2 linked regions of the Macaca fascicularis genome follow. The protein of the gene in region 2 purifies or fractionates together with the protein of the main gene of each other region. This does not show direct contact. Links are inferred from orthologs where the notes say so. Each region holds a gene or a part of one and is shown on either strand. Other genes may lie near its edges.

What was found. The genes of interacting proteins can lie anywhere in the genome.
Region 1: the proteins of PSMC4 (region 2) and UBC purify together in Homo sapiens (affinity purification with mass spectrometry; 3 studies listed by BioGRID, with this or other methods). This does not show direct contact. The link is inferred for Macaca fascicularis from reciprocal best matches to the Homo sapiens genes PSMC4 and UBC.

Annotation. Positions count from the first base shown.
Region 1 is NC_088385.1:132,077,541-132,081,604, forward strand, and holds UBC (polyubiquitin-C), read right to left. Parts: upstream 2,801-4,064; 5' UTR 2,737-2,800; intron 1,903-2,736; 5' UTR 1,900-1,902; coding exon 298-1,899; 3' UTR 230-297; downstream 1-229.
Region 2 is NC_088393.1:47,110,114-47,114,454, forward strand, and holds the start of PSMC4 (26S proteasome regulatory subunit 6B), read left to right. Parts: upstream 1-1,525; 5' UTR 1,526-1,563; coding exon 1,564-1,599; intron 1,600-2,497; coding exon 2,498-2,596; intron 2,597-2,720; coding exon 2,721-2,907; intron 2,908-4,341.

The DNA.
Region 1 (4,064 bases), on a different chromosome or scaffold from region 2:
ACACCTGCCTTTTTGTATTTGCAGTAGACATAGGGTTTCACCACATTGGCCAATCTGGTCTTGAAGCCGGCTTTTATTTGCACCCACCTTCTACAGTTCGTACTATATTAAGGTCAACCCCTTCACTGACATTTCACTGTTACCACAGCAACATTTGTAAACTGAAAACCTTGATCCCCTTCACCCAGTCTAATGCAAAATAACCTTAACTTTTAAAAAACCACACCAGTTGGGAATGCAACAACTTTATTGAAAGAAAAGTGCAATGAAATTTGTTGAAACCTTAAAAGGGGAAACTTAGACACCCCCCCTCAAGCGCAGGACCAAGTGCAGAGTGGACTCTTTCTGGATGTTGTAGTCAGACAGGGTGCGTCCATCTTCCAGCTGTTTCCCAGCAAAGATCAACCTCTGCTGGTCAGGAGGGATGCCTTCCTTGTCCTGGATCTTTGCCTTGACATTCTCAATGGTGTCGCTGGGCTCCACCTCAAGGGTGATGGTCTTGCCAGTGAGGGTCTTCACGAAGATCTGCATCCCACCTCTGAGGCGGAGCACCAGGTGCAGGGTGGACTCTTTCTGGATGTTGTAGTCAGACAGGGTGCGCCCATCTTCCAGCTGTTTCCCAGCAAAGATCAACCTCTGCTGGTCAGGAGGGATGCCTTCCTTGTCCTGGATCTTTGCCTTGACATTCTCAATGGTGTCGCTGGGCTCCACCTCAAGGGTGATGGTCTTGCCAGTGAGGGTCTTCACGAAGATCTGCATCCCACCTCTGAGGCGGAGCACCAGGTGCAGGGTGGACTCTTTCTGGATGTTGTAGTCAGACAGGGTGCGCCCATCTTCCAGCTGTTTCCCAGCAAAGATCAACCTCTGCTGGTCAGGAGGGATGCCTTCCTTATCCTGGATCTTTGCCTTGACATTCTCAATGGTGTCGCTGGGCTCCACCTCGAGGGTGATGGTCTTGCCAGTCAGGGTCTTCACGAATATCTGCATCCCACCTCTGAGACGGAGCACGAGGTGCAGGGTGGACTCTTTCTGGATGTTGTAGTCAGACAGGGTGCGCCCATCTTCCAGCTGCTTTCCAGCAAAGATCAACCTCTGCTGGTCAGGAGGGATGCCCTCCTTGTCCTGGATCTTTGCCTTGACATTTTCAATAGTGTCACTGGGCTCCACCTCAAGGGTGATGGTCTTGCCAGTCAGGGTCTTCACGAAGATCTGCATCCCACCTCTGAGACGGAGCACCAGGTGCAGGGTGGACTCTTTCTGGATGTTGTAGTCAGACAGGGTGCGCCCATCTTCCAGCTGTTTCCCAGCAAAGATCAACCTCTGCTGGTCAGGAGGGATGCCTTCCTTGTCCTGGATCTTTGCCTTGACATTCTCGATGGTGTCACTGGGCTCCACCTCGAGGGTGATGGTCTTGCCAGTGAGGGTCTTCACGAAGATCTGCATCCCACCTCTGAGGCGGAGCACCAGGTGCAGGGTAGACTCTTTCTGGATGTTGTAGTCAGACAGGGTGCGTCCATCTTCCAGCTGTTTCCCGGCAAAGATCAACCTCTGCTGGTCAGGAGGGATGCCTTCCTTGTCTTGGATCTTTGCTTTGACGTTCTCGATGGTGTCACTGGGCTCGACCTCGAGGGTGATGGTCTTGCCAGTCAGGGTCTTCACGAAGATCTGCATCCCACCTCTGAGGCGGAGCACGAGGTGCAGGGTGGACTCTTTCTGGATGTTGTAGTCAGACAGGGTGCGCCCATCTTCCAGCTGCTTTCCGGCAAAGATCAGCCTCTGCTGGTCGGGAGGAATGCCTTCCTTATCTTGGATCTTTGCCTTGACATTCTCAATGGTGTCACTGGGCTCAACCTCAAGGGTGATGGTCTTGCCAGTCAGGGTCTTCACGAAGATCTGCATTGTCTAACAAAAGAGCCAAAAACCACCAGCATTTAGCAGACAATGTACTAATCTTCCTAATACTTAAACTATATGTTATATTCACCCAAATGATTACAATTTAAAAGATACCTAAGAAACTTCACAAAATACACTCGCCAACCCCGAACGCATAGTTTAAAACTCAGACTTCAGCTACTTAAGAAAATAGGAACATAGAACTGACCAAAGAAACTGACGCCTCACTTATCCCTCCCCTCACCAGAGGTCAGGCCCCTGTCGACTCAGGAGGGCCTACCCTAGGCCCCAACCCTGCGTCCTGCGACGAAGAAAAGCCTACTGCACACCTACCGGCAGGTGGCCCCACCCCACATTATGAGCCAACAGAACGGATGACGTCACGACACTGCGAGGGCGCGCGCTCCTCAAGCTACGGGTGCACTGCCAAGTGGCACCGCCATTAACTGCCGCCCCCGCAACAGACGACAAAGCGAGTTCTCCGGTCAGTGACAGACTTCACATCAAGGTCCCCAAATGGTGCCCCAGCCCACCTCACCAGAATAAGAGCGTTCCCGCATTAGCGAAAACCTCAAGGCCTTGGGTTCTTGCCGCAAACCATGCCCCCCACCTTGTTTCAACAACCTCACAGCCCGCCTCACAACCGTCTTCCATTCAAGAGCCGGGAACAGCCGCCATTTTGCTGCGCTCCCCTCCCACCCGCTGCTCGGGGCACCTTGCTCGCGGACCCAGACTACAGCCCTCGGCGGCCTCTCATCCCGCGGCGTCGGCCCCCCTCCATCCCACCGAGCGGCCCAGCGGCCACGAAAGCCATGGCCGGCCCAGCAGCCCTCTGCTCACCAAGTGGCGATGACACCGACACACAAACAAGAACTGCGATCCCACTCCCGGCTGCGACGGAACTAGCTGCGCCACACCCGGCGCGTCCTTATATAGTCATCGGCGTTCACCGCCCCAAGGAAATTCCTCCGCAGAATCGCCGAGAAGGGACTACTTTTGCTCGCCCGTTCCGGTCTCTGGAAAGAAAACCAGTGCCCTACAGTCACCCAAGTCCCGTCCCAAAATGTCCTCCTGCTGAGACTGGGGTTCTGGGACTGAGTCTGGTGGGCAGCGGGCCGCCGTCCTGAGCGCCCAAGCGGAAGAATCAGGGCGCTCGCTGCGCCCTGCGGCCATGACGTGGAGGCGCTCGCCGAGAGGAGGGGGCGTCCGCGGGAGGCGCCAAAACCCGGTGCGGACTCTGCGGCGCCAGGAGCGGGTGGGCAGCCCGCGTTCCTCAGCCGCGGCCCCTCCCCTCAGCCCCCGCGGTCCCCTCGGGTCGCGAACCCCGCGTTCGGCGGACGTGGGGCGCGGACGGAGCGCCTCCCGCAGAGTCGGGGTCTCCCTCCCCTCCCTCGCGACCCGCCCTGGCCCACCCCGCGAGACGGACGGGTCTTTATTTTTGGGTCACATTTGAGATAATGACGGGGCTTTCTTTGCTCAGCCCCCCTCAGTCTTCCTGAGCTTCCCAGCCCGGTCGCGGGGGCTCCCCGGTGCCGCGCCCCTCCCCCGCTGCGGGCCGCGGGACAAGGACAATGACTCAGCAGATCTCAGGCCGGGCGCGGCCCTAAAGCTGGGGAACGCTCGAGAACTTTCGAGGGGAGACACTGCAGAGGAGCTGGTGTCCAGGTTAAATTTGGAAAAGTGAGGGGGAAACCCCACACAGTTTTTTTTTTTTAGCTGGAACCCAAGGCTGAGGGAACGACATCCTTCTAGACTGTTCTTTCACCTTCGTGTACATTCTGAGGGCCGGGTATGGAAAGGTCCTACTTGGTTTCAACAGGGAGGCCTAGAAATTTCTCTGGTTTCAATGGGTACGATTATTGTAATCAGGATCCATTCAATAATCGGACCCATTTAAACCGAAGGTTTTAAAAGACAGGAATAGAATCCCAGCCCTATTTCAGGGCAGGGTAGGGTGTCAAATATGAAATGTAATTCTACAGGGCAATTCTATTTTGATAAAAGAAGTGGGGAGAAAAGAATCACCAGCCAGGTTTTTAAATTTTTACCACAACCTATTTTGTGATCCTTATGTGTCATTTCTTCAGTATATTTTTAAAATGTTTTAACAAATACGAACATGGTGAGATTTTTTAAATGTGTCTTTTTAAAGTGTACAGTGAAAAGTC
Region 2 (4,341 bases):
AAAAGATTATATATATATGTGTGTGTGTGTATATATATGTGTGTGTATATATATGTGTGTGTATATATATATATTTAAAGGCTATGTGGGGTGGGTCATGCCTGTAATCCCAGTACTTTTGAAGGCTGAGGAGAGAGGATCGCTTGAGGCCAGGAGTTGGAGACTCTAGTGAGCTATGATCGTGCCACTGCACTCCAGCCTGGGCGACAGAGACTGTATCTCTTAAAATAAAAATAAAAATAAAAAAAATATGAGTAGATGAATGATAACCTTTAGAAAGGATCCAGGAGGCTGGGTGTGGTGGCTCACTGGTTCACGCCTGTAATCCCAGCACTTTGGGAGGCAGATCACTTGAGGTCAGGAGTTTGTGAACGGCCTGGCCAACATGGTGAAATTCTGTTTCTACTAAAAATACAAACATTAGCCTGGGCAACAGAGTGAGACGCCCCCTTGAGGCAGGGGTGGGGGGGTGGGGGAGGGGGAGGGAAGAAGGGATGGAGGAAAGGGGAGCACATGGGGCTTCTACTGTTTGGTTTTGCGATCTGAATTCAGGTTGTAAGGGTGTGTTCACTTTGTGTAATTTCGTCGAGCTGTAATGATTTGTGCTCTTCTCTTTAACTTCAATAAAAGGTTTATTTAACAAAAACTGTAGCTGGTGTGAAGGGTAGCAGTGTATCCCTGGGGCCTGGAATACAGGCTTTGGGGTCAGACAGACCTGGGTCCCAATCTGTGCTTTGTCCTTTCGGCACGTTGTGACTACAGCTGGTGGCTTCGTGGCTCTGGGCTTGTTTCCTTCTCTATAAATGAGGAAACATAATACCTGCTACGATGATGCCTGTAAAGCTTAAGCACAGGACCTGGCATAGGTTTGTAAGGCGGAAACCTGGGATACAGAATTAAGGCCTATGGATCTCCTGTGCAACCCAATTTCTGGGCACTGGCTGCCTCATTTTCCCCAGCCCAGACGCGTGGGTTCTACTTGACTGGTTGCTCACTGCGGGCTCGGGGCTCCTCACTCCTGGGGGTAAAGCCCGGTACGAAAGGTCACCTTCAGGGGCAGCTCAGACCTTCCTACGCCCGCGCGGGGCACAATCTTGGGATCAGCCCCACAAGGAGACCCTACCCGCCCATACGATCCCTTCTGTGGAGCCCAGCTCAAGGCCCCTCCAGCCCAGACACTAAATGAAAGCTAAGAGCAGTTGGCCGCCAGACTGTCCGTGCCAGAGCTCTGCGAACTTACTCCGTTGAAAGAGCAACGGCCTTGCGCCACCTCCTGGGGTAAACCCCCAGCCCTTCACTGCAGGGCAAGATGGCGCTGTCGCGTGATGCTGCGCACGCGCACAGCTCCGGTCCCGCCCCCAAGCCTGCGGGTACGGACAGCGCACGAGCTTATGTTGAGGGCGGAGCCCAGATGAGCCCTTCATCCTATCCTGCCCTTCCAGCCACTCTTAGCGGTAACTTAAACTACGCTTCCCAGAAGCCTCCTCAGCCAGGGACTTCCGTTGTCGTCAGCGGAAGCGGTGACAGATCATCCCAGGCCACACAGAGGCCGGCTTGGTCACTATGGAGGAGATAGGCATCTTGGTGGAGAAGGCTCAGGTACAGTGGGGACTTGAGCTTTTTAGTCCGTGCTGGGCTCGCGGGGAGAGGGTGAAGCCAGACCTGAGTGGGGAGATGAATGGCTTCCGGGACCCCGGCCCGGGTTGGGGTGATTTCTGAGGCCTCGGTGGAGAGTTTTGTGCCGTTCGAAGGCTTGTCTGGGTGGCCGAGTGATGGTGGGAGGTAAGGCTCAGAAAGCGGGTCTAGGGGAGTGAGTGACGTTAGTGGGTCTTTGGGACGGATTGATTTCGAACCCTGGCCGGTAGTGCTTAGTTAAGTCGGTGGCCCGGCGTTGGGATTGGGTCAGGCGGTGAGTGATGTATGGGATCCAGCTGTGCGGCCGAGTGATCCCCGGGACTAGGCTGCGGGGCTGACTGATGTTCAGGGCTTTGCTGATGGGGGTAATGGGGCGGGTAGTTAAGTATTATCTGTGGCTTGGCTGAGTGATGTTTAGGTCTAAGGTGAGTTAGGAGACTGTGACATAAGGGATCTTTGAGGGGAAACTGGGGAATGTTGGGACTCTTTGAAGGCGCAGTCACTTTAACAGCTTATCTAGGAGAGCCATGTGACATTAGGAACCTCTTGAGGGGGATCGGGTGGCATTTGGGTCTGATATGGAGTTGATGTAACATTTAGATCCTAGGTGGGGGTTGTGTGACACTGGGGACATGTTATGAGTGATATATGATAACATAAGAACTGTTTGGGGGCAAGTTGACATAAGGAGCTTGTTTAGGAGGCCAAAAACAGGATCTATTTAGAGGGTCTTATGATATCAGGGGTCTGTTAGGGGGTAAGTGACTTCAGGGTGACGTGGGGAGGGGAACAAACGTTAGTGAAGTTGAGATGCTTTCATGAGAGGACCGTCTTCCAACGTAAGTTGTCCCTTTTGGTCTAGGATGAGATCCCAGCGCTGTCCGTGTCCCGGCCCCAGACCGGCCTGTCCTTCCTGGGCCCTGAGCCTGAGGACCTGGAGGACCTGTACAGCCGCTACAAGGTACATTCAACCCCCAACCCAGACCTTGCACAGGACCTGGCATCTTATACTCTCCCCATTTTCCACCACTCTCTGGATCAGCAAGGGCTGGAGCCATCCCCTTCTGTCCCCTCTCTGCTCACAGAAGCTGCAGCAAGAGCTGGAGTTCCTGGAAGTGCAGGAGGAATACATCAAAGATGAGCAAAAGAACCTGAAAAAGGAATTCCTCCATGCCCAGGAGGAGGTGAAGCGAATCCAAAGCATCCCGCTGGTCATCGGACAATTTCTGGAGGCTGTGGATCAGAATACAGCTATTGTTGGCTCTACCACAGGTGTGTGGGTAGCTAAGGACATCTAATTCATTCATTTGTCCACTTCACTATTTCCTACCATGTGCTAGGAAGCAGCAAACAAGGCAGGGCAGTGCAGTGCAGTGTTCTTCAGAGTATTTTGATCGAAAGGTAGAAATACATATACATACATATATATATATATATATATATATATTTTTTTTTTTTTTTTTTGGAGACAGAGTTTTGCTCTTGTCGTCCAGGCTGAGAGTGCAGTGGCACGATCTCGGCTCACTGCAACCTCTGCCTCCCAGGTTCACGTGATTCTCCTGTCTCAGCCTCCCAAGTAGCTGGGATTACAGGCATGGACCACCACGCCTGGCTACTTTTTGTATTATTATTAGAGACAGGGTTTTACCACGTTGGCCAGTCTGGTCTCGAACTCCTGACCTCAGGTGATCTACCCACCTCGCCCTTCGAAAGTGCTGGGATTACAGGTGTGAGCCCAACTGTGCCCGGCCAGAAATATATTTTACATTGTGAATATGTCTTTGTCTCTTACTTTTTAGATAGATGTATAAAACATAAGTCTCACCATGAAATATTTAGCCTTACTATGTGTGGTATTTGCTGATGTTTTCTATCCTATTCTAGTCTGTTTTGCTTTAAACACAGTTCTGGTCATGAACTTCCAAACTGATTTCACAACTACTACTGGTTTGGGGCCTGCAGTTTGCAACGATGAGTAGGAGTGTTAAGAGATTGGGCTCTGAGGCCAGGCATGGTGCCTCACACGTATAATCCCAATACTTTGATCAGGTGGGCAGATCACTTGAGGCCAGAAGTTTAAGAACAGCCTGGGCAACATGGAGAAACCCTGTCTCTACTGAAAATATAAAATTTAGCCAGGTGTGGTGGTGCACGCCTGCAATCCCAGCTACTTGGGTGGTTGAGGCATGGGACTCTGTTGAACCCAGGAGGTGGAGGTTGCAGTGGGCCAAGATCGCGACACCATATTCCAGCCTGGGCGACAGAGCAACACTCTGTCTTAAAAAAAAAAAAAAAAAAAAAAAAGACTGGGCTCTGATAGGGACTCAGAGTCCCTATCAGAGTATATTGTAGCTGCTGCTGTTTATATAGGTCTAGGCCTTGCCCTCTTGATAGTCATTGTTACTGGCACTTACCTGTTTTTTCCCGTTTCTGGGCTCTGCTCCTCTGGACCAAGCCATGTTCTTGTAAAGGTTGTGGAGAAAGGTGTGCGATTGTGCCTGGAATTGGACTGGGGGGCTATGAGAAAGTGAGGGGAGAGTGGTATCCAGGATGAGGTCTCTATGTTGCGAGTTGGGATAGTGCAGCTTTCCATGAGATGGCACCATGGGTAGAGGAGCAGGTTTGTGGGAACACAGGGAGGGCAGTCCAGAGCATCATGGGAGGTGTCCAGGAGGCTGCTGGTCAGCCAGGTCTGACAGTCAGGAG